4 linked regions of the Stegostoma tigrinum genome follow. The protein of the gene in region 3 purifies or fractionates together with the protein of the main gene of each other region. This does not show direct contact. Links are inferred from orthologs where the notes say so. Each region holds a gene or a part of one and is shown on either strand. Other genes may lie near its edges. The genes, in order: mta2, kifc1, kpna2 and polr3c.

Region 1 (7,721 bases), on a different chromosome or scaffold from region 3:
AGGACTGGATGGGGTGGGGGTTCGGGTGGAGTTGGGACTGGGTGGGGATATGGGGTAGAGTTGGGACTGGGTGGGGGTGGGAGTAGGACTGAGTGGAGATGTGGGGGTTAATTTGGAACTGGGTGGGGTTGGAGTTGGGATGGGATGGGGATGTGGGATGGGGTTTGGGACTGGATGGAATGGGGGTGAAGTTGGGACTGGGCTGGGTGAGGGGTGTGAGGTGTGAGGTGGGGGTAGAGTTGGGACTGGACCGGGAGATGGGGTGCGGGTGGAGTTGGGACTGGGCTGGGTGAGGGGTGTGAGGTGGGGGTGGAGTTGGCATTGGGTGGGGGTGAGGATGTGGGGTGGAGTTGTGACTGGGTGGGGGTGGGGGTGGGGGTGTGGGGTGGAGTTGGGACCAGGTTGGGATGGGGATGGAGTTGGGACTGAGCTGCGTAAGGGGTGTGAGGTGGGGGTGGAGTGGAACGAGGTGGGGGTGGAGTGGAACTGGGTGGGTGGTGGGGGGTGGAGGTGTGGGGTGGCATTGGGACCAGGTTGGGGTGGGGGTGGAGTTGGGACTGGGTGCGGATTTGGGGTGGGGGTGGAGTTGGGACTGGTTGGGAGTGGGGGTGTGGGGTGGTGTTGGGACTGGTGGGGGTGGGGGTGTGGGGTGGTGTTGGGACTGGTGGGGGTGGGGGTGTGGGGTGGAGTTGGGACCAGGTTGAGGTAGGTGTGGAGTTGGGACTGGTAGGGTGGATGAGGGGTGTGAGGTGGGGGTGGAGTTGGGACTGGGTGGAGGTGTGGGGTGGAGTTGGGACCAGGTTGAGGCAGGGGTAGAGTTGGGACTGGGTGGGGTGGATGAGGGGCATGGGGTGGGTTGGAGTTGGGACTGGCTGAGGTGGATGAGAGGTACGGGGTGAGGGTGGAGTAAGGACTGGGTGGGGGTTGTAGTTGGGGTGACTGGGTGCGGGTGTGGGGTGGCATTGGAACCAGGTTGAGGCGGGGGTAGAGGTGGGACTGGGTGGGGATGGAGTTGGGACTGGGTGGGGGTGGGGTTGTGGGTGGAGTTGGGACCCAGTAGGGGTGGGGGTGGAGTTGGGACAGGGTGGGGGTGAGAGCGTGGGGTGGAGTTGGGACCAGGTAGGGGTGGGGGTGGAGTTGGGACTGGGTGGCGGTGGTAGGTGGGGAGGAGTTGTGACTGGGTGGAGTTGGGCTGGATGGGGATTTGGGGTGGGGATGGAGTTGGGACTCGGTGGGGTGGATGAGGGGTATGGGGTGGGGGTGGAGTTGGGACCAGGGTAGGGTGGATGAGGGGTGTGGGGTGGAGTTTGAACTGGGTGGGGTGGTGGTGGAGTTGGGAGTGGCGTGCGGGTGGAGCTGGGACTGGGTGGGGTGGTGGTGGGGGATATGGTGGGGACAGAATTAGGACTGGGTATGGGTGAGGGTGTGGGGTGGTGTTCGGACGAGGTAGGGTCAGGGTGGAGTTGGGACTGGGTAGGGTGGATGATAGGTGTGGGTGGAGTTGAGACTGGGTGGGGTGGATAAGGTATGTGGGGTGGGGGTGGAGTTGGGACCAGGGTAGGGTGGATGAGGGGTGTGGGTGGAGTTGGGACCAGGGTAGGGTGGATGAGGGGTGTGGGTGGAGTTGGGACTGGGTGGGGTGGATGAGGGGTGTGGAGTGGGGGTGGAGTTGGGACCAGGGTGGGATGGATGAGGGGTGGGGGTGGAGTTGGGACTGGGTGGGGTGGTGAGGTATGTGGGGTGGGGGTGGAGTTGGGATGAGGGGTCTGGGGTGTGGGTGGAGTTGGGACCAGGGTAGGGTGGATGAGGGGTGTGGGGTGGGGGTGGAGTTGGGACTGGGTGGGGTGGATGAGCGGTGTGGAGTGTGGGTGGAGTTGGGACTGGGTGGGGTGGTGAGGGGTGTGGGGTGGGGGTGGAGTTGGGACTGAGTGGGCTGGTTGAGGGATGTGGGGTGGGGGTGGAGTTGGGACTGTGTGGGGTGGATGAGCGGTGGGGGTGTGGGCGGAGTTGGGTCTGGGTGGGGTGGATGAGGGGTGTGGGGTGGGAGGGAGTGGGGACTGGGTGGGGTGGTGAGGGGTGGGGGTGGATTTGGGACTGGGTGGGGTGGAAGAGGGGTGAGGGTGGAGTTGGGACTGGGTGGGGTGGTGAGGGGTGTGGGGTCGGGGTGGAGTTGGGACTGGGTGGGGTGGTGAGGGGTGTGGGGTCGGGGTGGAGTTGGGAGTGGGTGGGTTGGTGAGGGGTGTGGGGTGGGGGTGGAGTTGGGACTGGGTGGGGTGGATGAGGGGTGTGCGGTGGGGCTGGATTTGTGACTGGGTGCAGTTGTGGTGGTGGGGTGGCGTTGGGACTGGGCAGGGTTGATGAGGGGTCTGGGGTGGGGGTGGAGTTGGGACTGAGTGGGCTGGTTGAGGGACGTGGGGAGGGGGTGGAGTTGGGACTGGGTGGGGTGGATGTAGGGTCGGGGTGGAGTTGGGACTAGGTGGGGTGGATGAGGGGCGGGGGTGGAGTTGGGACTGGGTGGGGTGGTGGGGTGGTGAGGGGTGTGGGGTGGGGGTGGAGTTGGGACTGGGTGGGGTGGATGAGGGGCGGGGGTGGAGTTGGGACTGGGTGGGGTGGTGAGGGGTGTGGGGTGGGGGTGGAGTTGGGACTGGGTGGGGTGGATGAGGGGTGTGTCGTGGGGGCGGAGTTGGGACTGGGTGTGGTGGATGAGGGGCGGGGGGTGGAGTTTGGACTGGGTGGGGTGGATGAGGGGTGTGGGGTGGGGGTGGAGTTTGGACTGGGTGGGGTGATGAGAGGTGTGGGGTGGGGGTGGAGTTGGGACTGGGTGGGGTGGATGAGGGGTGTGGGGTGGGGGTGGAGTTAGGACTGGGTGGGGTGGATGAGGGGTGTGTGGTGGGGGTGGAGTTGGGACTGGGTGGGGTGGTGAGGGGTGTGGGTGGAGTTGGAACCAGGGTAGGGTGGATGAGGGGTCTGGGTGGAGTTGCGACTGGGTGCGGTGGTGGTGGTGGGGTGTGTTGGGACTGGGTGGGGTGGATGAGATGTGTGGGGTGGGGGTGGAGTTGCAACTGGGTGGGGTGGATTAGGGATGTGGGGTGGGGGTGGAGTTGGGACTGGGTGGGGTGGATGAGGGGTGTGGGGTGAGGGTGGAGTTGCGACTGGGTGGGGTGGTGGTGGTGGGTTGGAGTTGGGACTTGTGGGGTTGATGAGGGGTCTGGGGGGGTGGAGATGAGACTGGGTGGGGTGGTTGAGGGATGTGGGGTGGGGGTGGTGTTGCGACTGGGTGGGGTGGATGAGGGGTGTGGGGTGGGGGTGGAGTTGGGACTGCGTGGGGTGGATGAGGGGTTTGTGGTGGGGGTGGAGATGGGACTGGGTGGGGTGGATGAGGGGTGTGGGTGGAGTTGGGACTGGGTGGGGTGGATGAGGGGTGTGGGGTGGGGGTGGAGTTGGGACTGCGTGGGGTGGATGAGGGGTGTGGGTGGAGTTGGGACTGGGTGGGGTGGATGAGGGGTGTGGGTGGAGATGGGACTGGGTGGGGTGGATGAGGGGTGTGGGTGGAGATGGGACTGGGTGGGGTAGTGAGGGGTGTGGGGTGGGGGTGGAGTTGGGACTGGGTGGGGTGGGTGAGGGATGTGGGGTGGGGGTGGAGTTAGGACTGGGTGGGGTGGGTGAGGGATGTGAGGTGGGGGTGGAGTTGGGACTGGGTGGGGTCGATGAGGGGTGGGGGTGTAGTTAGGACTGGGTGGGGTGGATGAAGGATGTGGGGTGGGGTGGGTGAGAGGTGGGGTGGAGTTGGGACTGGGTGGGGTCGATGAGGGGTGGGGGTGTAGTTAGGACTGGGTGGGGTGGATGAAGGATGTGGGGTGGGGTGGGTGAGAGGTGGGGTGGAGTTGGGACAGGGTGGGATTGGGAGCCTGGGGTGGAGTTGGGACCAAATAGGGGTGGGGCTGGAGTTGGGACTGAGTGGGGTGGATGAGGGGTGTGGGGTGGGGGTGGTGTTGGGACTGGGACTGGGTGGGGTGGTGAGGGGTGGGGGTGGAGTTGGAACCAGGGTAGGGTGGATGAGGGTGTGTGAGTGGAGTTGCGACTGGGTGCGGTGGTGGTGGGGTGAGTTGGGACTGGGTGGGGTGGATGAGGGGTGTGGGGTGTGGGGTGGGGGTGGAGTTGGGACTGGGTGGGGTGGATGAGGGGTGTGGGTGGAGTTGGGACTGGGTGGGGTAGTTAGGGGTGTGGGGTGGGGGTGGGGTTGGGACTGGGTGGGGTGGAGGGTGGGGAAGAGTGACTCCCGTCGCCGGCCCCGCGCGTGCGTCCTGGTGACAACCGCCAAACGTCCCTCGCGCACATTCCCGCCTCCGCGCCGGCTGCCGCGCGCTCCCCCGACTGCGCGCCGGGCAACGTCACGCCGCCGCGTGCCTGCGCTCACTCCGAGTGCGCACCATCGCGTCACTCTGTCGGGCGCTCGCGCTCACCCCAAGTGCGCACGCTCGCTTCACTCAGGCGCGTGCCCGCGCTTATTCCGTCCGAGCACGTTGCCGCGTGACTGCGCGTTACCTCCCCTCTTCGTCCCCCGCCGCGTGCCCGCGCACTGCCCTCCTCCCCCCCTCCTTCCCTCCCCCGGTAGGGGCTGGCCCGGGAGGGGGAGGGAGGGTTCGCTCTTTCCCCTCGACAGAGAAGGAGGGCCCGGAGTAAGAGGAGGAAGAGACCTCCCTCTCCCTCCGCCCGTCTGCCCGTGTCTGCTCCGGGAGGGAGGGACGGCGATCCGCCAGGGAGAGGAGCTCGGCCTCAGGGAGAGAGACCGGGAGGGCGACATGGCAGCCAACATGTACAGAGTGGGAGGTGAGTGAGTTGAGTGAGTGAGTGAGGGTGGCCGGCCCGGCGCTCAGCCATCGCTGCCTCTCTCTGTGTGTGTCTCACCGGAGGAGGGAGGCTGGGACTGGGGACAGAGAGCCTGAGAAACAACAAAGTGCCAGGCAGCAGCTATAAGCCAAACTTTACAACAAGAGGCAGACATGGAAGAGGAAGACAGCAGCTCGAATCAGTGCACCAAGGTGGCGGGGTGGTGGTTTGGGCTCAGACTACAGCCGGCAAGTAGGGGAGAGGGGCTGAGAGGCCGAGGGGGCATGGGCGGGTGGAGGCAGTTGGGGGAAATGTGGTGGCCAGGGACTTGGGCATGTGGGTTATTGGGAGCCAGGGGCCATGGGGGATGGGCTAGGGGGCCCAAACAGGACCCATGGATAGGGCAATGTGGTGGGTTGGGGGCAATGGCCAGATTGAGGTAGTTGGGGTGAAGGGTCATACAGGGGCTGTGGATGGGCGGGGGTTCGGCAATGGGACAAACAAGGGCAAGGTACAAGCAGGGTAAACAGAAACCAGGGCTAAAAAGCCCACTGGGGCAGAGGCTAGGGTGAGTGGCCAAAATCTGGGGTGAACTGCAAACCGAGGCCCAAAACAGGGGCCAGGTGTTAACAGAGCTTTGGGGGTACAGGTTAGCATGGGATTTGGGGATCAAGGCAATTGGCAAACTGGCACCAGAAATAAGATTACAAGCAACTAGGATTTGGGGGTTGGGATGTTAATTGAATCAGAATTTTAGATTTTGGGTAGTTGGGTGTGAAGGGCAAGCCAGGTCTGAACTGGGACAGGATGGGGCGGGGGAGCTCAGGTAGGGTTTTGGGATCAGGCCAAGGGATAAGTGGTGGCTTAGTGGGTCAAGGATTGGGACACGTGCGGAATTCTTGTTTAGAGATCAGACAAGTGAATGGAGAGGCAATGGACAAGTGGTATTGTCACTGGACTGTTAATCCAGAGACCCTGGATAACATTCCTGGGACCTGGGTTCGAATCCTGCCATGGCAGATGGTGGAATTTGAATTCAGTTAAAAATATCTGGAATTAAGAATCTAACGACCATGAATCCATTGTTGATTGTTGGGAAAACCCATCTAATTCACTAATTTTCTTAAAAGAAGTAAACTGCCAGCCTTACCCGGTCTGGCCTAAATGTGACTCCAGACCCACAACAATGTGGTTGACTCTTAACTGCCCACTGAGCATTTAGGGATAGGCAATAAATACTGCCTGGTCAGTGACACCCTCATCCCATTAACTAATGATAAGAAAAAAGAGTAAAATGTCCAGTGATTATGAGACGGACAAGTCAGTGTTTGGGAATGGGGGCGAGAAGTGATTTCGGAGCTTTGGGATCACAATAAAGGGTGAACATTTGGGGACTGAGGTGAGGGACAAACTGAGGCCAGAGACCAGGGCGAGGGCAGTCCAAGATGAGAGGTGCACTCAAGTTTGGAGGTGGAGGTGATGATTAAGTTGTGGGCTTATGATTAAAGTTAGGAGTAAGTCAGTGTTTAGGGATCAGTGGAGGGCTCTGTGGTCAGGAAACATTAAAAAGAGGGTCAGCATGTAAAGGTGCTGAACAAATATTTGAAATTGAAATAAGGATGGCATAATGACAAAATTTGTATGATAAGCTAAAGAAGGATTTCAAACACAAGAATACTTGCCAAATAAAATTAGGTAATAGTCAAAAAGGGGTTTGGAGGTGGGGGTATGTTGTCAGATTTTTGTAGATTTTGGCAGAAGTTCAGGTTGGGGGAGGGGGTTTGGTGGGCATGTTTAGTTGTATACCTCATTGGGATAGACCTGGCACAAGGAGAGTTGGGTTCTCAGTGATAAGCAGCAATCAGGAAATATGAAATAAAAGCCAGAGATTAGAGGCTAAAACTGACAAATGTATACGTGAAATTCTTACAACATGCGGGCAAGCTGAGGAAAGAGGTGAAACTGCTGGAATGAAAGTCGAGATGAGTCAGGATAGAGGCAACAGCAGTCATTTTGGGGTGGGAATAATAACATACAGTCAGGGATAAAATGGAAGGAAGGAACATTTCAAGGTTTAAAGATCAGTGGATCAAAAAGGCTCTGATGTTGTGTGGAGTAAGAGCTAAAAAGAATCAAGGATGTATCAAGCCAGAGCCATACAACTCCATGACCACTGTGTTTGGGGGTTGGGGAGCATGTGGAGGTGTAGTTTGTAAGTTTTGTGAACTGAGGTTGACTTTTGAAAGGTTCCTGTCTAAAATCCCAGTCAGAAAAACAAGATGCAAATTCTCTGTTCAGAGCAGCTGTGGCCCTAATAATGTACCAAAAATCTCTCTCAACCAACTTGAATCCTGACCAAGTACAAGAGACTGCTGAAGGACCAGGGACAAATCATAGTTGGGGAACTTAAAAATTCACCTGGTATGGACAACTTGTCAAGAAAACTTGTGGTTGGGTCGCGGGTGCTTCTGAGTCGAGGGGATGTTTGTGGTTTTACAGAGTGAAGAAGATACAAAATTTTGATGGCCTCACTGCCCATGAGAGGGAATCGGAAAATTAAGGAGCGACTGGCTTTTGACTGTGACAGGATGCCAAAGGTGGGGGCATGTATAGAGTCTCGAACAGCTGTGTGTCTTTGCAGTCTATTAGCCTTGATGTGGGCTGGGGGTGTTTCTTTCAGTACATGCTGGCGACGTGCTCTGCATGTTCACGGACCCGGCTGACTTACGGAGGATGCGCAAGTGCCAGAGGTCTACCCTGTGGCATCGTCCTCGGCAAGTATCAACTGGAGTAAATTTTAGGGACCTTTGGTCGCTCACTGGCAGGTGGACTCCCTCTAAAGGAGCTCTGGTACTTCGTGTGCGATACCATTCAGCCTCTCTACCTGGGAG
Region 2 (7,023 bases), on a different chromosome or scaffold from region 3:
GCACTACAACAACAACCCTGCGTTACCATAGTGACCCAGCACTACAGCAACAACCCTGCATTACCATAGTGACCCAGCACTACAGCAACAACCCTGCATTACCATAGTGACCCAGCACTACAGCAACAACCCTGCATTACCATAGTGACCCAGCACTACAGCAACAACCCTGCGTTACCATAGTGACCCAGCACTACAACAACAACCCTGCATTACCATAGTGACCCAGCACTACAACAACAACCCTGCGTTACCATAGTGACACAGCACTACAGCAACAACCCTGCATTACCATAGTGACCCAGCACTACAACAACAACCCTGCATTACCATAGTGACACAGCACTACAGCAACAACCCTGCATTACCATAGTGACCCAGCACTACAACAACAACCCTGCATTACCATAGTGACCCAGCACTACAACAACAACCCTGCATTACCATAGTGACCCAGCACTACAACAACAACCCTGCATTACCATAGTGACCCAGCACTACAGCAACAACCCTGCATTACCATAGTGACCCAGCACTACAGCAACAACCCTGCATTACCATAGTGACCCAGCACTACAGCAACAACCCTGCATTACCATAGTGACCCAGCACTACAACAACAACCCTGCATTACCATAGTGACCCAGCACTACAGCAACAACCCTGCGCTACTGCAGCAACAAACTGACACTGCAACAAAAACCCGGCCCTACAAAATACAACAACTACCCCTTCACTACAACAACAACCCGGGGCTATAGCAACCCTCGGTACAACAACCTGGCTCTCTTAACAAGGCAGCACCACTACTGCAACAACAACTTGGCCCATCACCAACAGCAGACCTCGCCAGTTCCACAGCCCTCGGTACAGTAAGAAACACACATATTGCCATGACAATACAACAACAACAAGCCCGCGGTGTCATAGCTGCAGTTCGCCCGCCCCCACCACACGCCATATTGAAGAGGACAGGATGATCCTGGTTAATGACTCTAAGCTGGCTTTTTAAAGCGTGCTGACTCTGTGAAGTGTATCAAGGAGAAGCTCCAGGTCAATCCCCTGCTCATCCTGCTGGCAATCTGAGAGGCAGCAGACCCATCTCCCCACACCTCGCCGACAGATTGAAGCTCAGGTTGGGCTGGCGAAGGGTGCCAGGCCAATGGAAAAGAAAGAGAATGTCGAAGACCCCATTTCTGAGGAGTCTGAGGATGACCACAAGACTAACAGGAAGACCAAGCCTGAGCCGAGCCCTGCTCCTGAAAACCTGAGCCTCAAACATAGGGTGATATTGTGTGCTGACCGGGTCTTCCTGTGCCTGTTAGTGTTGCTGCTGGTGGTTCTCTCACTCGAGGTAATCTACAAGATCTGGTACATCACCAACTGGAGAGCCGTCCTCAACTTCCTCAGGGACCTGGCCAGCTACCTGTCCGAACAGCCGGAGGAGGAGGAGGTGATCGAGCTGTAACTGGTACCTGTGCAACAGGGTACGGTCTCCAGCCCTTTCTCACCCCGGCACAGCGCTGACACAGCCTCCGAGTCAGTACCTGGCACTGAACCACTTTCCTCAGTGATCGGAGGGTGCTGCGATGCTCAATGGCAAGGTGGAGAGTGGGACGCACCACCGGTATCTATATTACCTGAAGCTTTCAGACAGTCAGATTATAGACCAGTATTTAAAACCTTTTCCTGTACCTCTACCTGTTCCTGCTCCCAGGGAACCTACACTGAAAAGATGCAAGACTCAATTCAAAACATTTGTGGATGCCAAATATTCCCAAATGGTAGTGCTCCGGACTGAAGGATTTACAATGTTTTAGATGGCAAAGACCATTCCCTGTGTGATTATGTGTCAACCGTCAACTGGCTTGTGTGTGTGTGTTTGTGACTGTGCGTGTCAGTCTTTGTCAGCACTGTGTGTTTCTGTCTGTGTATTGGCACTGTGTAACTCTGTATGTGTGTATCTTTGAGAGTGTATATCTCTATTTGTCACTGTCCGTGAGCATCAGTATGTCTGTCCTTATAAGGGTCTGTACCTGTGTGAGTGTCTGTATATGTATGTATGTGTGTGTCTGTGTGTTTCTGATCCTGAATGTCTGTACCTCTGTATGTGTTTCTGTCTGTGTGTCTTAACCTGTGTAACAATCTGTTTGTGTGTCTCTGAGACTCTACACCTCGGTGAGTATCTCTGAATCTGATTCTGTAAGTATCTGTACCTCTGTGAGTATGTGTGTCTGTCACAGTGTCTGCTCGTGTGTGTGTGTGTGTGTGTGTGTGTGTGTTTGTGTGTCTGAGCATCTGAATCTGTGTATGTGTCTTTGTCTGTGAGTATCTGTGAGTCTGTCTCTGCGTGTGTCTGTATCTGTTTGTGCATGTGTCTGTATGTTTCAGTGTGCTTGTGCGAGTATCTGAGTATCTGCACTTATGTGAGTGTGCGCGGTTTTCTTCTGTGTATGTGTGTCTGTCTGTGTCTGTGAGTGTGTGTGTGTGTGTGAGAGAGAAAGTTTGTGTGTGTGAGAGAGAGGTATGTGTGCATGTGCATGTGTGAGAATGTGTGTGTGTCTGTGTGAGAGAGACAGAGTTTGTGCGCATGTGTGTGTGTGTGCGCATGTGTGTGTGTGTGCGCATGTGTGTGTGTGTGTGTGTGTGTGTGAATGAGTTGGACTGGAACATGTTGGAGATGGGAGTCCTGTTCCCTGGGAATGGATGAGAATCGCTGGCCACCCTGGGACCAATTCAAGACTGAAGACAGAAAGCCAGTAGCTATGCCTGGGAACTGAGGCCGGTCTCCAGGACAACGCAGCATTCTGAGCTCCGGACCTATTCACAAACTTGAGTCATTAAAATGCCGCACTTTGAATGTTCTGCCATTGGGAACATTGGTTTTGTCACTGAGGACCTACCCATTAAAGACCAAGACTGGATTAAAACTGCTACCTGTACTTCAGAAATGGTTGATTCAAACTGTATACAGGCTCCCGAAAATGAGACAGCTTTCTATTCAGACTGAGGCTCACTCTCCTGGGTTCTGCAGACAGAATCTGATGGTTTAGTTCATGAGTGGTTCCAGACTACATCCAATTAAATTTGCGTTGAGCTCCCTCCCGAGAGCTACGTGTCTCTGTACAATCTCTGATCTGGGGGAACAGATTCCTGAAAGCACCCCTGCATTGTCACCATCCTGATTACAGGCCACCTTTCTGTGATCCCTGTATCAGAACACCCTTAACAGTTCAATGTTTCACCCCTTTGAAAAATCCTTCTCTTTGTCCATTCATACCAGAGGGAGTCACTTACCAAATAACCCTGTCCCTAACTCTTCAGCAGCCTCAGTAGCTACTCCTCTCAGACTCCCTCTACTCATTCAAACTGACGCTAAAGCTCCCTCTACACTGTCCCCCATCAAACACTGACAGGACAGGGACAGGACGAGATTAGAGACAGAGTAAAGCTACCTCTACACTGTCCCCCATCAAACACTGACAGGACAGGGACAGGACGAGGTTAGAGACAGAGTAAAGCTTCCTCTACACTGTCCCCCATCAAACCCTCCCAGGATGGGACAGAATGGGGTTAGATACAGAGTAAAGCTTCCTCTACACTGTCCCCCATCAAACACCCCCAGGACGGGTCAGTACGGGCTTAGATACAGAGTAAAGCTTCCTCTACACTGTCCCCCATCAAACACTCCCAGGAGGGTTAGATACAGAGTGAAGCTTCCTTTACACTGTCCCCCTCATACCCAGGAGTGAGACAGCAAGTGGTTAAATGCAGAGTGAAGCTCCCTCTACACTGTTAAACTGAAAGTAAAATTCTCTCCACTGTTTTAAGCTGAAAATAAGGCTGTCTTGTCAATGTCCCTATTAAACATTCCTGGGACAGAGTAGCCTGTACATAGTGCCTTCTCCTTCTAAGATGTTCCTATTAAGGGGTAAATCGATGTGAAGGCTCCAGCACTCAGCCCCTCAGACCCTTCCTCCCCTCTGCTGGGAACTGCCAAGAGTTGCCTGTAACTGGCTGAGCAGGAATTTATTGGGTTCTATCCCGTGGTGTGAGCTGGGAGGAGTTTACAGACAGAAAATCATGCTCCCTTAGTTAGCAGAGTGGGACTCGAAGACAGGGCTTCTAGCTCAGAGCCAGGGGCACTACCCACGATACCAGGAAACCCCATGGTTTTGTAAACACTACATGGGGATCATGTAAACACAGTGTACAGCGCTGGTCCTTGGTGCCTGAATGAACTGCACCAACATTCTGTCGCCATCGTACTGGAGTTGTTTTCCAAAAAGTTTTTTCCTCATCAACAGGAAATATCTTTGAAAGAACCATGTGTGCAGCAGCCAGATTGGATTCAACCCCTACAGCGCATAAAGAGGCCATTCAACTCAACTAGTCTGCACTGACCCTCCAAACAGCATCCCACCCATCCCCATCCCCCCAGCCTATCCCCATAACCCCACATTTCCATGGCCAATCCATCCCAACCTGCACATCCCCGGGCACTACGGGACAATTTAGCACGGCCAACCCACCCTGACCCGCACATCCCTGGGCACTACGGGACAATTTAGCACGGCCAATCCACCCTAACCTGCACATCCCTGGGCACTATGGGACAATTTAGCACGGCCAATCCACCCTAACCCGCACATCCCTGGGCACTATGGGACAATTTAGCACGGCCAACCCACCCTAACCCGCACATCCCTGGGCACTACGGGACAATTTAGCACGGCCAATCCACCCTAACCTGCACATCCCTGGGCACTATGGGACAATTTAGCACGGCCAATCCCACCCTAACCCGCACATCCCTGGGCACTATGGGACAATTTAGCATGGCCAACCCACCCTAACCCGCACATCCCTGGGCACTATGGGACAATTTAGCACGGCCAATCCCACCCTAACCTGCACATCCCTGGGCACTATGGGACAATTTAGCACGGACAATCCCACCCTAACCTGCACATCACTGGGCACTATGGGACAATTTAGCACGGACAATCCCACCCTAACCCTCACATCCCTGGGCACTATGGGACAATTTAGCACGGCCAACCCACCCTAACCCGCACATCCCTGGGCACTATGGGACAATTTAGCACGGACAATCCACCCTAACCCACACATCCCTGGGCACTATGGGACAATTTAGCACGGCCAATCCACCCTAACCTGGACATCCCTGGGCACTATGGAACAATTTAGCACGGCCAGTCCACCCTAACCTGCACATCCCTGGGCACTACGGAACAATTTAGCACGGCCAATCCCACCCTAACCCGCACATCCCTGGGCACTACGGGACAATTTAGCACGGCCAATCCACCCTAACCCGCACATCCCTGGGCACTACGGGACAATTTAGCACGGCCAATCCCACCCTAACCTGCACATCCCTGGGCACTACGGGACAATTTAGCACGGCCAATCCCACCCTAACCCGCACATCCCTGGGCACTACGGGACAATTTAGCACGGCCAATCCACCCTAACCCGCACATCCCTGGGCACTACGGAACAATTTAGCACGGCCAATCCCACCCTAACCTGCACATCCCTGGGCACTACGGGACAATTTAGCACGGCCAATCCCACCCTAACCTGCACATCCCTGGGCACTACGGGACAATTTAGCACGGCCAATCCACCCTAACCTGCACATCCCTGGGCACTATGGGACAATTTAGCACGGCCAATCCACCCTAACCCGCACATCCCTGGGCACTAATGGTAATTTACCACGGCCAATCCCACCCTAACCTGTCCACGTTTGGACTGTGGGAGGAAATGAAAGGAAACCCAAGCAGACACGGGGAGAACATGCAAACTCCACGCAGACCGTCGCCTGAGAATGGAATCGAACCCAGGTCCCTGGCCCCGTTTGGCAGCAGTGCTAACCGCTGAGCCAACTGTCATGAAATGATAGACTTACTGTGATATACACCTGATCTTTCATTGAGTATTCTTCACCCAGTGTCATGCAGGTGAGAGATGGTCACCACCAGCTGCTGAAGGGTAGAACAGGAGCCAATCCTTCTACAGTTACACACTGCAAATGTGCACCACCTGACACAGTGACAGTCACAACTGCTCGGACTGAAAAGATTTCTCATCAGCCCTTTCAGATGTGTTAGTGCTCACCTCCAGAGCAAGTGGGCCTCCTGGCTCAAAGTAGGGACACCGCCGCCCCACTACAAGAACGCTTTCACAGCACTGAAAGGGGCACGAGCGAGAATCCCCAGCAACTCGCACACAACGGACGTGTGACTGATAGCCATTTTCACTGCAGCTATCCGTTTTCCACCTCAGAGTGCGCACGGTCAGAAGGTCCCAGTTCCAGAGCCCTGGAGGCTTCTCACAACATTGAAACTCAGATAATGTTCTGGGGTCCCAGGTTCGAATCCCACCGTGGCAGATGGTGGAATTTGAATTCAATAAAGAATCTAGAATGAAGAGTCCAACAACGACCATTGTCTAATGTCGGGAAAAACTCATCTGGTTCACTCATGTTGTTTAGGGAAGGAAACTTCCATCCTTACCTGGCCTGGTCTACACGTGACTCCAGACCCACAGCATCGTGGTTAATTCTTAACTGCCCTCTGGGCAAAAATACTGGCCCAGCCAGCAACACCGACATTCCATGGGTGAGTAAAGAAAGTCTCTGAAAAAGAGGTGGATAGATTCTTGGTAAGTGGGGGAAGTGGGGGGGGTGCTCAAATATACTTAGAGTAAGTGGGATTGTGGAGTCAATAACAATCAGATCAGCTGGGATCTCATAGGGATCCGGCTCATGGGCCAAATGGCTTACTCCGGTTCCTAAATCAGAAGTGTGAGTACGCTGCTGTGATATCGCTTCTTTCCAGACACCACCCAGCAGGTCTCTACCGTATATACGTATTATATATATAGAATCCAATGGTACTGCCAATGGGAGACTGGCCAGATTCAGAGAGTGAAGGCAACAATTTGAATAGGATAGCGAAGCCTCTGGCAATTCTAACTATTTCCAGTGACTAT
Region 3 (7,725 bases):
GAGCTTAGGTGGTGAGGAATTTGTTAAATGTATTCAAGAAAATTTTCTTTATAAAAATGTAGATGTACTTACGAGAGAAGGTGCAAACCTTGATCTTCTCTTGGGAAATAAGGCAGAACAAGAGACTGATGTGTTTCTGGGGGAGCAGTTTGGGACCAGTGATCATAATTCTTGAACTTCCAGAAGTTGATTGGAATAGACTATTTGCAAGTAAAGGGATGACTAGTAAATGGGAGACTTTCAGAAGTGAGATTATGAGAGTTCAGAGGCATTATGTTCTTGTTAGATTGAAGGGTAAGGCTGGTAACAATGGATGAATAAAGATATCAAGGCTTTGGTCAAGAATAAGAGGAAATCATATATTGGGTATAGACAACTGGGATCTAGAATCTCTTGAAGAATATAAGGGGTGTTGGGGCATTCTTGAGAGAGAAATCTGGAGGGCAAAAAGAGAGATGAGATAACATGAGATAACTTTGGCAGATAAGATTAAGGTTAATCCAAAGAGATTCTACAAGTACATTAAGAGCAAAAGAGCAGCTACTGAGAGAATAGGGTCCCTTAAAAATCATTGAGGTCATCTATGTGTTGAACCACAGGAGATGGGAGAGATAATAAATGTGTCAGTTTTTACTGTGGAGAAAGACATGGAGGCTTGGGAAATAAATTTTGATGTCTTGAAAACAATCCATATTGTGGAAGAGGAGGTGCTGGGGGTCTTAAAAAAAACACAAAGATGGATAAATCTCCAGGCCTGATGAAGTATATCTCAGGACATTTTGGGAAGTTAGGGAAGAAATTACAGGGCCCCTAGTATAGATATTTATATCATCTGCAGCCAAGGATAAGATGCCAGAGGACGAGATGGTGGCTAATGTTGTGCCTTTATTTCAGAAAGGCTGTAAGGAGAAGCCTGGGAACTATAGATTGGTAAGTCAGATATCAGTGGTGGGCAAGTTTTTGGAGGGGATTCTGAGAGATAGGATTTACATGCATTTGGACTAGGATAGATCGTTCTGTTCAAGATCTGAGATCATAGATTCCCTACAGTGTAGAAGCAGGCCATTCAGTCCATAAAGTCCACACTAATCCTCTGAAGAGCATCCCACCTAGACCGAGCCCGTACCCTATCACGAAATTTCCTTCCCCAGACATCATGGGCTATTTAGCATTGCCAATCCACCTAACCTGCACATCTTTGGACTGTGGGAGGAAACCCACACAAACACAGGGAAAATGTGCAAACCCCGCATGGACAGTCACCCAAGGCTGGAATTGAACCCAGGTCCCTGGTACTGTGAGGCCACCATGCTGATAGTTCCGTTCAAGATTAGGAATGGTTCTGATCAAAACTATTCAAGATGGCAGCAGTGGATAAGCACTGTCTGGGATTTTGTGCCCAGATCTCATCCATTCTGCCAGCTTTCCTTTTTCTGTTTTTATCTTCTTTTCTCTTTTTTTAAGTAGTTTCTTAATTACCTTTTGGATGCTGTGGAGGCAGCGGCAGCAAAAGAACATGCCAGTGGCTGGGCCCCAATGTGACAGTGAGACAACAATTGGCAGCTAGCGGCAAAGGATGGTGGCAGCAGTGATGTGGTGGTTGCGGCCAAAGCCTTGTGAGTGCTGATGAAGCCTGATGTGCCTGGGCAGGTCTTGGCCCAGCACAGCGTAAGCATTCCCAGCGCTAGGGAGAGTGATGTGTCTTGGGGAAAGCCCAGCTTTAAGCATCTGTAGGCCCATAGCTTAAGACTGTAATGCTTGACATTTTAACTTTATTTTTCTATTTTTCAACATTTATGCTAAGTGCACTGTAGTGCTGAACTTTTTAAACTTATTACTTTATATTTCTATTTCTGTAACTAAAATTTTGTACCTAAGTACTTTGTACATAAGATGGCACCATATGTGGTGACGTTGTACACTTTTCACTGTGCTCTTGTGCCATGTACTTGAGTACACATGACAATAAAACCTAAATCTAGATCTAAAATCAATTGTTTGTCATTTATATAAACTATTTGGATGAGAATTTAGGAGGCATATTTAGTAAGTTTGTGGATGACACCAAAGTTGGTAGTGAAGAAGATTATCTAAGAATACAAAGGTTCTTGATCAATTGGGCCAATGGCTTGAGCAGTGGCAGATGGAGTAAAATTTGAATAAATATTATTGCATTTTGATAAAACAAACACAGGCAGCACTTATACACAGGCAGCACTTATACAGTTAATGATATGGCCCGGAGTAGTGTTTTCGAACAGAGAGACTTAGGGATCTAAGGATTAAAGTTCTTTGAAATTTGCATCACATGTAGAAATGATGGTTAAAAAGGTGTTTAGAATGCTTGCATTCATTGTTCAGACCACTGAGTATATCATGCTGAGGTTGTACAGGGTTTTGGTGATTTGATTTGATTTATTATTGTCACATGTACCTTGGTGCAGTGAAAAGTTTTGTTTTGTGTGTAGTACAGGCAGATCATATCATACAAAGTGTATAAGGGTAATAGAACAGAACAAGGAATACAATGTTATGCTCAGAGAAGATACACAAAGAACACGATTAACATTAAATTTAAAATTTGAGAGATCCATTCAGAAATTTAACAACAGTGGCGAAGAAGACATAGTAAGAACTGCTGATGCTTGAGTCTGAGATAACATAGTATGGAGCTGGAAAAACCTGAAGATTTCTGAAGAAAGCTCCTGACCCGAAATGTTAGCTTTCCTACTCCTCTGATGCTGCTTTGCCTGCTGTGTTCTTCCAGCTTCACACTATGTTAATAGTGGGGAAGAAGCTGTTCTTGAATCTGTTGGTTCATATGTTTAAGCTTTTGTACCTTCTGCCTGATAGAAGAGGTTGGAAAAGAGTATAACTGGGGTGGGCTTTGATTATGTTGGCTGCCCTCCCGAAACAGTGTGAAGTATAGATAGAGTCAATGGATGGAAGGTTGGCTTGCACGATGTTCTGAGCTGTGTCACAACTCTCTGTAGTTTCTTCTAGTTCTGGGCAGAGCAGTTGCCATACCAAGCCATGATGCATCCAGATAGAATGCTTTCTATGTTTCATCTTTAAAAATTGGCAAGAGCCTTTATAGACATGCCAAGTTTCCATAGCATCCTGAGGAAGAAGAGGCATTGTTGTGCTTTCTTGACTGTTGTATCAACATGGATTGTTGGTGATTGCCACGCCTCGGAACTTCACTCTTGGCTATCCCTAACTCAGCACGATTAATGTAGATAGGGGAGTGTCCTCCACCTTGTTTCCTGAAATCAATGACCAGCTCTTTCATTTTTCTAATGTGAAGGGAAAGATTGTTATCTTCACACCATGCTACCAAGCACTGTGTCTCTTTCCTGTATTCTGTCTTGTCATTGTTTGAGATCCAACCTATAGTGGTGGTGTTGTCAGCAAACTTGTTGATGGAGTTAGGATGAAATTTGGCCACGCAGTCACAAGTGTACAGGAATTATATTAAGATGCTAAGGCATGTTTTTGGAGGACTGTCTACAGTACTGGACTTCCTTCTATAGGAAGAATATTGTTAAATTGGAGATGGTTGAGAAAAGATTTGCCAGGATAGATGAGGTGAATAGCAAAGGTCTTTTCCCTGGGGTGGTGGAGTTCAAAACTGGGAGGAAATTTTAAGGTGAGAGGAGAAAGATTTAAAAGGAACCTGAGAGGCAACTTTTTCATACAGAGGGCGTTTTGTATGTGGAATGAACTACCAGAGGAAGTGGTTGTTGCAGGTATAGTTACAACATTTAAAAGACATTTGGACAGGTACGTGAATAGGAAAGGGTTAGAGGGACATGGGCCAAATGCAGGCAAGTAGGACTAGCTTAGTTTGGGAAATGCGGTATGCGTGGGTGAGTTGGACTGAAAGGTCTGTTTCTGTGCTGTTTGACTCTATGACTCAATAACTGTTATGGACTGTCCTACACTGGTGTGTAGCAGTATGACAATGAGCTACACTTGAGGCCATTGTTCCTTGCACTGAATGAGAAAAACAGGGTATTGTTAGTGATATATTTCCACATCTCTCATATGTATGGCAACAAGTGCCACAGCCCCACCTCATGCCCCCAGAGTTATTACACGTTGACCCTGTGCCAAACTATTCTTTAAATGTTTTGCCAGGAACTGGTCTCTCAGGAAGTTTTGGTGGGGTTGTGGTTAATAGTAGGACCAAGATATGAAAATCAACTTCAAGGAGAATCACTCAGTGTGAGGTTGCCACTGGTAGTGGGGGAATGGGGAAGGACCAAGCACAGACTCCTTTGCCGTAAAAGTTCGAAGGCACAGGACATAAAACTATGTTATCCTGTATGAATTACTGAGCGGTCAACCACACATAACTTGAGAGGTTTTCCGAAGACGTTGCAAAAGAGACAAAGACGTGACTTTAGTGAGTGTTTCCAGCAATTTTTATTCCTAAATCAGCAGTATTTTTAATACCACGTGGAAGAACAAAAGAGTAAAGAGGAAGTAATGTTTCGAGCTCCTTTAACGCGCAAAACAACAAAAGACCGCGCCAGAGACGGCGCTATGCACGGAGTAGTATTTTTAATATCCTTTACTTGATTGGCTGCGCGGTTGGTATGGGAATCCATCCAACCGCATCCTCAGCTTCTTTCAAATCAGCCAATTGAAATATTGCTTTGAATCGAATGAACCAATGGGAGCCGGGCAACTCAGCCGGTTTAAATAGCTGGAGCGGCTTCCAAGCTTGCATTTCTGTTGGTAATAGTGTTTTACTAGCGGAAGGTTATAAGTTGTAAACGGCTTGCTTTAATATTGCAGTTAAGTGCACTTTGTAAATCTTGTGATTAGTTCAACTGCTGTTCTCGTTTAATAGCGATAAGTTTTTTTTCCTTTTCACGACTAATTAAATTCCAGTAACCTTAACGGAAAATCTCCCCTTTAAATCTTTGTCTCAGCTTCCGCAAGTATGTAAGACTTGTTCATCTTTCGCTGTAAATGACTTTTGTCTAAACAGGCAATTAATCTAAATGCTGAAACGTAATTGTTGCTAACTTTTTAATCTGGATGCAGTGTAATTTTTTTAAAAAGAACAAAATTGTTAATTTTTCTACGTTGTAGCATCTTTCCAAAGTGTCTAAAAATCTTCCCCGCCTGTCGAAGCACGCTTTCTGTGACTAACTCTTGTCTACTTTGTTTCGTACAGTTTTTGCCAAGTTAATTCAAGTTGAAATATGTCAACCACGGCCAACGAGAACGCCTTCAGCCGCCTGATCAAGTTTAAGAACAAGGGGAAAGATGCTAATGTAAGATGGTATTATTTTAAGCTTTTTCGTAACTTTTATCATCGCCATCAATACATGGCCTAATTTTGGTTCCATTTTCCCTCTCCACTCCTTTTTAAAAGGAGTTGAGACGCAGGAGAATTGAAACCAATGTTGAGCTGCGGAAAGCTAAAAAAGACGACCAGCTGTTTAAAAGGAGGAACGTGAACAATTTTCCTGATGAGAATGTATCTCCACTTCAAGAAAAGAACAATATCCAGGTACTGTATTCTCGAAGGAATCCTGTTTTAAAATTCATGACTTGCTTTTTGGCTACTAAAAACTTTGCTGTTTTCATGAAAATCAGGTGCCTTTGAATTTGGATGAAATAATCCAAGGTATCCAGAGTAATAATTTGGAAACTCAACTCCAAGCAACTCAGGCTGCCAGGTAAGAATGGGTGTCTCCCATTGTAGTTAGAAATTTTAAATGTAAAATACCTTGAGTCTTTTGAAAGTAATGCAGAGAATTCAAGCACCAGTTATGGGACACTGGGATATGTTTAAAGGAACCAGTCCATGTCTGTCTGCAATCGCGATACTGGGAGTAAAAATACTTGTATCTTGTCACTTCAGGACTATATTTGAGTGGGTTTTTTGTGTAATAGTGCTATACTAATTTTTTTCAAACTGGCTGTTGGAGTTTTAAAAAATGGATTTGCCAATTTTGGAGGGAATGATATTTCACTAGTGATTTTGGAGTCTATTTTTGGTTCACGTGGCCAGTGTTCGGTCAAAATGAGGCTGTCTAGCACTACCTCCTTCATGTAATAACTGAGCCCTGATCTGATTCCTGCATATGTTTGGGTTTCACTAAAACTTGAGGCTTCGTTTTGCCCATTTCTATCTTTTGTAACACTGACTCTAGTTCCAGACTCCAACTTTGCACCCTATCTTATGCCTTGTTTATATACTGCTCAGGTTGCACCTCAGCCTGTGCTCTTGTGAAAAATCTTTTGTCTAATCCCTTGCTAAAGCTAATGTATTCCGATCCAGCCAGCATCAGGTAAAAGTGATAATGGGAACTGCAGATGCTGGAGAATCGTCAGCTTTTGTGCTCCTGAGGTGCTGCTTGGCCTGATGTGTTCATCCAGCTTCACACTTTATTATCTTGGGAACTGCAAATGCTGGAGAATCCATTATCACTGATACAATTTTAACCTCACTGCAAAGCCTCTTCCAGGGATGCCTAACCTGAAGTAGTTACCCTCCTCCCTCTGGAGGATGAAGGGTCTAGGCCTGAAACGTCAGCTTTTGTGCTCCTGAGATGCTGCTTGGCCTGCTATGTTCATCCAGCTCCACACTTTATTATCTAGTATCAGGTAAAATCTTTTTTGCACCTTCAAAACTTCCACATCTTTCCTATAGAGTATCAGAACTGCACAAATACCATTTTAGGTCATGCAAGATGCTCTCCAACCTACAATTGACAAAATTGACTTTTCACCAGCTAATTGGTAAGGTAGTCCAATTGTATAAAGTTCTTTATCTTAAACAATTGTTAATAATGAGGGATAATACCTAGGATTTTTTGGACCAAAATTTTAAGAACTGATTTTAGTCTTTTCTGTGCTCTTTCTGGCCAGAGGGTTGATTTCACAACCATTCTGTTGGTGTTTACATTGTATTACAAGTCAGACAATAGTTGTCAGTACACTTTTTTAAGCTGCTTTTTCTTTTCAGGAAGCTGCTTTCTAGGGAGAAACATCCTCCCATTGACAAAATTATTCAAGCTGGGCTCATCCCCAGATTTGTGGGATTTCTTGCTACTTTTAATTGTAGCCCCATCCAGTTTGAAGCTGCATGGGCCCTCACCAACATAGCGTCTGGAACATCTGATCAGACTAAGGCTGTTGTTGATGGTGGTGCAATACCAGCATTCATCAATCTGTTGGCATCTCCACATCCACATATCAGTGAACAAGCAGTATGGGCTTTAGGAAACATTGCAGGTAACTAACTACTTTTTAAATATAGAAATGTTCGTTCTTTGCAAAATGGAGCATGTAAATTGGCTGACTGTTGCCCTAGTAGAACAGCTAGTAGAAATTAACGTTTTTTAAAAAAAAACTAATTAATGTAATGTGGAAATCACTGGCTATATGGCACTTTATTCTTTCCTCCTGCCTTTCCCCTAACACCCTTGGACATGGCAGTGTACAGCCTTCAATGACTGAAGTCTCTAATCACCTAGTGTTAGAAAGATAGTTTTTCAGGGTTTTGATTCAACAATCGAGCTTAAACTCTGGGTAGTATGCCTTGAAGAACTCTTAAGGGTTATGGAGAAGGGCAAAACTGCTCAGCAGGTTCAAATTCTAAATTGGGGTAAGCCTTAATTCTATGAAAATTTGAGGAGCTTTCATGGATTGACTTTTGAGTAGTTTGCAGACAAAGGGACTCCTGGCAAGTGGGAGGCCTTT
Region 4 (7,478 bases), on a different chromosome or scaffold from region 3:
TTTCTCTCTACAACTCCCTGGTCCACCTACAACACCACACCACACTGCCACAGCACCTTCCCCTCCAATCACAGAAGGTGCAACACTCATCTGCTTCCTTCCTCGCTTCTCACTATCCAAAGTCCTCGGCACATCTTGCAGCGATTTACTGCACTTCATTCAATCTAGTCAACTGTATTCACTGCTCACAATGAGGTCTTCCATTCTGTTTGTAAAAGTGACCCTGAGCTTCCCCACCCTGCCATGTTCCCTGGCCGAAATCTCTGTGTCAGGCTTGCTGCAGTGCTCCAGCAAAGCTCAGCACAAGCTGGAAGTAGAACACCTCATTTTCTGCTTAGGGACCCTGTAGGACTCAATACTGAGTTCAATAAGTTTCTATGTCCTTTAGCAAATCCCACACCCCAGGACCTATCATGGCAAAGGCTGCTTTTAGCAGAGCCAACATTTTCATTCACTTATCACTCACCCAGTTATCAGCTTTTCTTTCTCTCTAGTTTACTATCAGCCATCTCGTTGTCCCTCAGAGCTCCATCTCCACCAATCCTCTCACTCCTTCTCTTACTCTACCACCCCATTCCCCCATCTTCAGCATACAGACCACCTGCTCCCAGTTACTATCGGTTCGGAGGAAGGTTCACTGGACCCCAAGCGCTGACTCTGCTTTCTCCTCACAGATGGCGCCAGGCCTATTGGGTTTCTCAAGCAATTTCTGTTTTTGATGAAGGAAAAGCTTCCCAGCTTTGGACAAGCCTTGAATGAAAGCAGAGAGCAGGTTTGTGACACCTTACCAACAACACTGAGATGGGGCACAGTGTACATCTCTTTCTCATCAGTGACCAGTGTTGGAGCATGAGGGGGCTGCAAGCCTTCAGCAACCACACACTCAGAGACCAGGGCACATTTCTGCAGGAAGTGGGTCTGCACCAATCGGATGAAGGTATTCGAGGTCTCACTGTGTTCCCCGGTTTTACTGTCTGTGCAGAGGAAGAGCCAAGGACGTGAGAAACACTACCCAGATGAAGCATTAGCCAGTAAGACTGTGCTCACCATTCAGAACAATAACAACCCCACCCCCTCACCCCCTGCCTACCGTACACAACTCCCCCTCCCCCCTCCCAGCCCCAGCATACATGACTCGGCCTCCCCCACACAACCCCACCGTCCGCAACTTCCCCTCCCCTCACCCCCTGTCCACCGTACACAACTCCCCCTCCCCCCCCAGGCCCAGCGTACACGACTCCCCCTCCCCTCCACACGTGGGCTCCCTCATCCCCACAGTATGCAGGCCCCCACCACACACACCACCTCCTCCCACCATCCCGTATGTGGCTCCCCCTCCCCCCACCATACACAACTCCTCCCCTGTACAAGACCCCCTCTTACACATCCCCTCAGTCTGTACACATGCAACCCCCACCCTGATCCCAGTATAGTCTTTGCTACTGATCTTTCCTTCGTCACAAACTCACATATACTCCCTGCCAGGATCCTCTTTCCCCTCCCCTCCCCTCCTCTACATTCGAATGCTAGTTGCAGCCTCCATCTCTTCCTTCATGCACTCTCACCTTCCATTGTTTCTCTCAGCCTGTCGGCCACTTTCTTCACAACTGCACTCATTGTCATCTTGCCATTCTGCAGCAGTTCCTCCACAATCAGCTCCCCTGTGTCTCCGTACAGTGTCTTAGCTGAGTAGATATAGCGTGGGTATCGCAGGATGCGAATGATGTGTGCACAGTGCACTTCATACTCTACAAAGCCCCTCTTGTGCACATGATAGGAAGCAAAGTTGTGGTGGATCAAGACGCAGAGAGCTTTCTTAACCTGGAACATTGCAGTACGACAGTCAAGGTCCCTGTACACCAAACTTTCCCCTCTACATGTACCACTGACACCCGTCTGCTAGCCAAGGCCCAGTTTCCAGCCATGCTGTGATCTCACCATGTCCCACTCCTCATCCTGTCAATGGCACACACAGAGTCTGGAAATTTATGTGGCCAGCTATAGTAAGCTTTTCTCTTAGCTATGGAAGAGTCTGATCAGCTATCTCAGATTGGTGCCATTCCTTCAACTCCCATCAGCCCTTAGCAGCAAACTGCACCACCACACCCCCTCTCTACCAGCACCCACCCGCCACCCCCGACCCCACACAAACACACACCTGATCAATCGGCGTTTCAGTATCTTTGGCAATTAGCCGGAGAGGCTGGCATCCTGTGCGAATTAGGTGGGTGCCAACTTTGGCTACAATTTCACCGTAGTGTGCCTGGAGCAAGCAGGAGCAGATCTGTGACTCAACGTGTGTCATTCCTGATTAGGTTCAATCTCATCAGAGTCCGTCCTGCAAAACCACATGAATCACTACTAATTCAGTAACAACTTCGAAGTCAGAGACTGCTAAAACAATACCTTCAGTCTGAGGAAAAGAAAACAGCAGGAAAAAATGTGAAGGGAACAGGAACAGACAGTGCAGCAGAAACTCAGAAATTCCGGCAGTGCCTGGCAGAGAGAAGCAGAGTTAAAGCTGTCAGTCTGAATCTGACAGGTTCTGAAGGGGACTGGAAACAGTGACTCTGCTTCTCTGTCTCCACAGTTACCGGTGGAGCTGCTGAGTTTCTCCAACACTTCACTGTTTTCATTGCAGACTCCCAGCATCACAGTATTTTCATACGAAGTGGGCTAGTGACATTCAGACAGCCGACAGGAACAGGATGGAGGGAGCTTCACTCTGCATCTAACCCCGTGCTGTCCCTGTCCCTAGGGGTGTTTGATGGGGGACAGTGTAGAGGGAGCTTTACTCTGCATCTAACCCCGTGCTGTCCCTGTCCCTGGGAGTGTTTGATGGGGGGACGGGGGGTGAGGGGACATCGTGTAGCCGAAGCTTTACTAAAGCTAAAACTCACTGCAATCTACGAAGTGCTCTCCCTCCTTCTATTTCCCTCCTGGGACCAAAGCCCCCACTTCCTCACGGTCCCTTTCCGGTAGTGATGGTCTTTATGTTCCGGATACTTTGGTTCCTACTGACCCGATACCGCAGGAACATCCGGTTTGTGCCCCGCACCAAGATGGCGGCGTGCCCCCAACCTCATAAATTCCAGAGTCCACTTCCGGGTAGCTCGGGGCTTTCCGGGAGGGCGCTGACGTCAGCGGATAAGATGGCGGAGGCGGCGGCTGTGTCTCCGCTTCGCTTCTTCTGTCACTGCTGCAAGGGAGAGGTGTGCCCCAAGCTACCGGTAAGACAGGCCCCGAGCCCAGCGTATACTGCCTCGTCCCCCTTGCTCCGGGAAACTGCTGGTCTTCACCGGGGAGGAATCACTATCAGTCAACCCGAGCCTCAGGAGGGGGAGGGGGATACTCCGCAATCTTAACCCAATCCGCCGCTCCTCATGGTCACCATGGAGACTGATCCCCCCACCCCCCCCCATGGTCACCATGGAGACTGATCCCCCATCCCCATGGTCACCATGGACACTGATCCCCCCCCACCCCCCCATGGTCACCATGGAGACTGATCCCCCATCCCCATGGTCACCATGGACACTGATCCCCCCCACCCCCCCATGGTCACCATGGAGACTGATCCCCCATCCCCATGGTCACCATGGACACTGATCCCCCCCCACCCCCCCATGGTCACCATGGAGACTGATCCCCCATCCCCATGGTCACCATGGACACTGATCCCCCCCACCCCCCCATGGTCACCATGGAGACTGATCCCCCATCCCCATGGTCACCATGGAGACTGATCCCCCCAATCCCCCATGGTCACCATGGAGACTGATTCCCCCCATCTCCGTGGTCACTATGGAAACTGATACCCCCAACCCCACCATGGTCACCATGGAGACTGATTCCCCCCAGCCCTCCATGGTCACCATGGAGACTGATCCCCCAGCCCACCATGGAGGCTGACCCCCCAGCTCTCCATGGTCACCATGGAGACTGATCCCCCAACCCTCCATAGTCACCATGGAGACTGATTTCTCCCATCCCCATGGTCACCATGGAGACTGATCCCCCCCCCAACCCCGCCATGGTCACCCTGGAGACTGATCCCATCATTCCCATGGTCACCATGGAGACTGATTCCCCCCACCACTGAAGACTGAAGGAGACTTAACACCCCGCTACATCCCATGGGGACTGAACACGCGCCCCCGACATTCCCAGGGTCACCATGGAGACTGAACCATCCCTCAGTGCTCATTGTGGTGACTGTCTGTTCCCCTTACCCCTCCCACAGTCGCCATGGAGACTGAGCTCTCCATACCATGGTCATCATTGGAGATTAATCTCCCCCATCCCATGGTGACCATCTCCATGGAGACCTCCATCTCCCATCTCCTCCCAGTCCAGAGCTGACAGTCTTCAAATACATTTTATTCCTCCTGGTGCAAAGCGAGTCCTAGCCAAGGCTTTCCTCCAATGAATTATGTTCTTGCGTTCAAACATTGGCCCAGAGTTATGTTTGCTTTTGCAAGGGTTGAGTGTGATGGTTGTGTTGATTATGGCCCTTGTAATAGGATGGGTACATCAAATTACTCAGTGAGCAACTCAGTAGTGGTCTGAATAATTGTGCAAAATTTGATGGTGACTGTATTGTGGAGACTGACTAAATGCTTGGACTGCCTTAAACAGTGATGCTTATGGAATGTGGAACAGGCTGTAATTCTGGATGTTAAAAATATGAATGAGTTTAAATAATAATGATGTTAAATCGATATGCTCTTAAAATTCTAGTTTCTAACTATCTGTTTTGATGTCAGAAGGTCCTTCACACTGTCAACCAGTAACCCATCTCCCCCCGAACCCATGTTACTGACTGCATCTCTTCTGATATCATCAAACTCCCTTGCATTGTCATTCCGTAACCCTTCTTCTTCCCAGCATTAAAAATGTAACTGACTGTATCTCCATCAAAAGTGGTCCACCTCCCACTTCCCCAGCGCTTGGTGTTCCTGATTCTATCTGTACTGATAATAATCCAGTTACAGTCACTCAGTAACAATTCCGCCGGGTAGTGTCCTAGGTCCAACAAGCTTCAGTGACTTCATCAATGGCCTTCCCTTCATCATAAGGTCAGAGTGGGGACATTAACCAATGCTTGTGCAATGTTGAGCACCATTTGTCACTCAGTAACCCCTCACCCCGAAACAGTCTGTGTCCAAATGCAGCAAGACCTGGACAATATCCAGGCTTGAGCAGAAAAGTGGCAGATAATGATCACGCCACATAAATGCCAAGCAATGAGAGACAATCTGCCCACTGCCCCTTGGCATTTCCATCACTGAATCCCCTGCTGTCAACATACTGAGAGTTATCATTGGCCAGAAACTCAGCTGGATTTGCCATATAAACACTGTGGCTAGAAGAGCAGGTCAGAGACTAGGAATACTGCTGCAAGTAACTCCCCAGGGACAAGGGCAGCAGACAACGTGGAAACACCAACACCGTCTGCAAGCTCTGCTCCAAGCCACTTACCATCCTCGCTTGTAAATATATCACTGATTTTCACTGTCACTGGGTCAAAGTCCTGGAACTCCCTCCCTAACAGCATTGTGGGTCTATCTGTAGCAGCTTAAGAAGACAGCTCATCCAACACTTCTCAAGGGCAACTAGGGATGGGCAACAAATGATGGGCGAGTCAGCAACACCCACATCCAATAGGTGAATAAAATTAAACTGTTTTCCCCAGCGCCCTGTGTCAGTGACTGTATCTCTGCTGATGTTAATCCAGCACTCTTAGTATCTTTAAAATTATTAATTGGTCTCTCTGTCCAAGTCACCTCAGATGTATTCAATGTGTTAGTGTTACTGTTTTTATTTTGCTTTTGCTGAGGTTCATCTTAGTTTGATTCCTTCCATTTTATTGATGAGCAGCCTACAAGATTTAATAATTTCCACTGAATTTCCTGTCTCTGAATTCAAATTGGACTCAGTTGTTATCTGATAGAAGATTTTCAGTTCAGTTTGAAACCAAGGTGGAACCAAGTCTTTGGAAACTGGTCACAGTTCAGCCTTCCGGGGTTTGTAAGATAGAAATATCTGTATGTTGAAACTTGATTAGGCTCTCAGGCCAACTCTGCTGAAAGAAATAGGGAGAGACTTATAGAATCTTGGGTTACTTTCTATTGACCACTTCAGTCTGAAAAACCGAAAACTAAGTCCAGAAAGGATTGATAAGCCGCCAATGGCAGAGAGCTCCCAAAATTTTGTCAAGCCTGGTTATTCCAGCAAACAAAGGTCATAAACCATTTCTCATGTCGCTCAAAACATTGCTGGTCTTTTCTGCAAAGTCACTTGTCGTCTGAAAACAGCAGGCCATAAAATCACTAACATCATTTCCAAGAAATCTTGGGGTAAAACACCTCTTCAAATCAGAATCTATATAATTTCTGGTTTTCCTTCAGTCCCTAAGTATAAATTTGCATTTGTAACGTTACTGTGGATGCATTTTATTGTTTCTAGAAGGTGATGGTGAACTGCCATCTTGAACTGTTGCAGTGCGTGTGCTGTAGGTTGATCCATAGTGTCCTCAGAGTAGGAATTCCAGGATTTTGACCCAGTGACAGTGAAGGAACAATGATATATTTCCAAGTCAGGATGGTGTGTAGTTTGGAGGAAAATTTGCAGATGGTGGTGACCCCATGTATCTGCTACCCTTGCCCTCCTCAATGGAAGTGGTCATGGGTTTGGAAGGTACTGTCTAAAGATCTTTGTTGAATATCTGCAGTGCATCTTGTAGGTAGTACACACTGCTGCTGCTATTCTCAGTGGATGCTTGTGGATGTAGTGCCACTCAGAGGTGCTGCTTTGTCCTGGATGGTGTCAAACTTCTTAAGTGCTGTTGGAGTTGCACGAATTCTGGAAAGTGGGGATATTCCATCACACTCTTGACTTATGCCTTGTAGATAGTGGACAGGTTTTGGGGAATTGGGAGGTGAGTTATTCACTGGAAGATTTCTAGTCTCTGACCTGCTCTTATAGTTGCAGAATTTATAATGCTGGTCCAGTTCAATTTCTGTTCAATGATAACCCCAGGATGTTGACTGCATGGCATTCAGTGATGTTAATGTCATCGAATGGCAAGGTTGTGAGCAGATTGTCTCCTATTTGAGACGGTCATTATCTGGCATTTGTGTGATGTAAATGTTATTTGCTACTTGTCAGCACAAGCTTGGATATTATCCAGAACTTGATGCATTTCAACATGGACTGCTTAAGTATCTGAGTAGTCATGAATGGTGCTGAACATCCCCACTTCTAACCTCATGATGGAGGGGAGGTCATTGTTGAAATAGCTGAAGATATTTGGGCTTAGGACACTACCCTGGAGAACTCCTGCAGAGGTGTCTTGGAGCTGAGTTGACTGACCTCCAACAACCACAACCATCTTCTTGTGTGCCAGGTTTGACTCCAACCAGCAGAGAGTTTTCCCCTGATACCCATTGCTTCGAGTTAGTTTGGATTCTGTGATG

The links.
Region 1: the proteins of kpna2 (region 3) and mta2 purify together in Homo sapiens (affinity purification with mass spectrometry; 4 studies listed by BioGRID and IntAct, with this or other methods). This does not show direct contact. The link is inferred for Stegostoma tigrinum from reciprocal best matches to the Homo sapiens genes KPNA2 and MTA2.
Region 2: the proteins of kpna2 (region 3) and kifc1 purify together in Homo sapiens (co-immunoprecipitation; 4 studies listed by BioGRID and IntAct, with this or other methods). This does not show direct contact. The link is inferred for Stegostoma tigrinum from reciprocal best matches to the Homo sapiens genes KPNA2 and KIFC1.
Region 4: the proteins of kpna2 (region 3) and polr3c purify together in Homo sapiens (co-immunoprecipitation; 3 studies listed by BioGRID and IntAct, with this or other methods). This does not show direct contact. The link is inferred for Stegostoma tigrinum from reciprocal best matches to the Homo sapiens genes KPNA2 and POLR3C.

What each region holds. Positions count from the first base shown.
Region 1 is NC_081395.1:3,146,358-3,154,078, forward strand, and holds the start of mta2 (metastasis-associated protein MTA2), read left to right. Parts: upstream 1-4,718; 5' UTR 4,719-4,802; coding exon 4,803-4,830; intron 4,831-7,721. UniProt on the Homo sapiens protein: May function as a transcriptional coregulator. Acts as a component of the histone deacetylase NuRD complex which participates in the remodeling of chromatin.
Region 2 is NC_081387.1:28,152,336-28,159,358, forward strand, and holds the start of kifc1 (kinesin-like protein KIFC1), read right to left. Parts: upstream 3,012-7,023; 5' UTR 2,938-3,011; intron 1-2,937. UniProt on the Homo sapiens protein: Minus end-directed microtubule-dependent motor required for bipolar spindle formation. May contribute to movement of early endocytic vesicles. Regulates cilium formation and structure.
Region 3 is NC_081375.1:10,522,338-10,530,062, forward strand, and holds the start of kpna2 (importin subunit alpha-1), read left to right. Parts: upstream 1-4,711; 5' UTR 4,712-4,802; intron 4,803-4,808; exon of another isoform or gene 4,809-4,949; intron 4,950-5,188; 5' UTR 5,189-5,216; coding exon 5,217-5,288; intron 5,289-5,389; coding exon 5,390-5,527; intron 5,528-5,613; coding exon 5,614-5,696; intron 5,697-6,988; coding exon 6,989-7,257; intron 7,258-7,725.
Region 4 is NC_081400.1:582,327-589,804, forward strand, and holds the start of polr3c (DNA-directed RNA polymerase III subunit RPC3), read right to left. Parts: upstream 3,003-7,478; 5' UTR 2,901-3,002; intron 2,339-2,900; 5' UTR 2,306-2,338; coding exon 2,159-2,305; intron 1,822-2,158; coding exon 1,566-1,821; intron 975-1,565; coding exon 789-974; intron 1-788. Other genes in the region: rnf115a (E3 ubiquitin-protein ligase RNF115), read left to right, coding at 3,153-3,230. UniProt on the Homo sapiens protein: DNA-dependent RNA polymerase catalyzes the transcription of DNA into RNA using the four ribonucleoside triphosphates as substrates.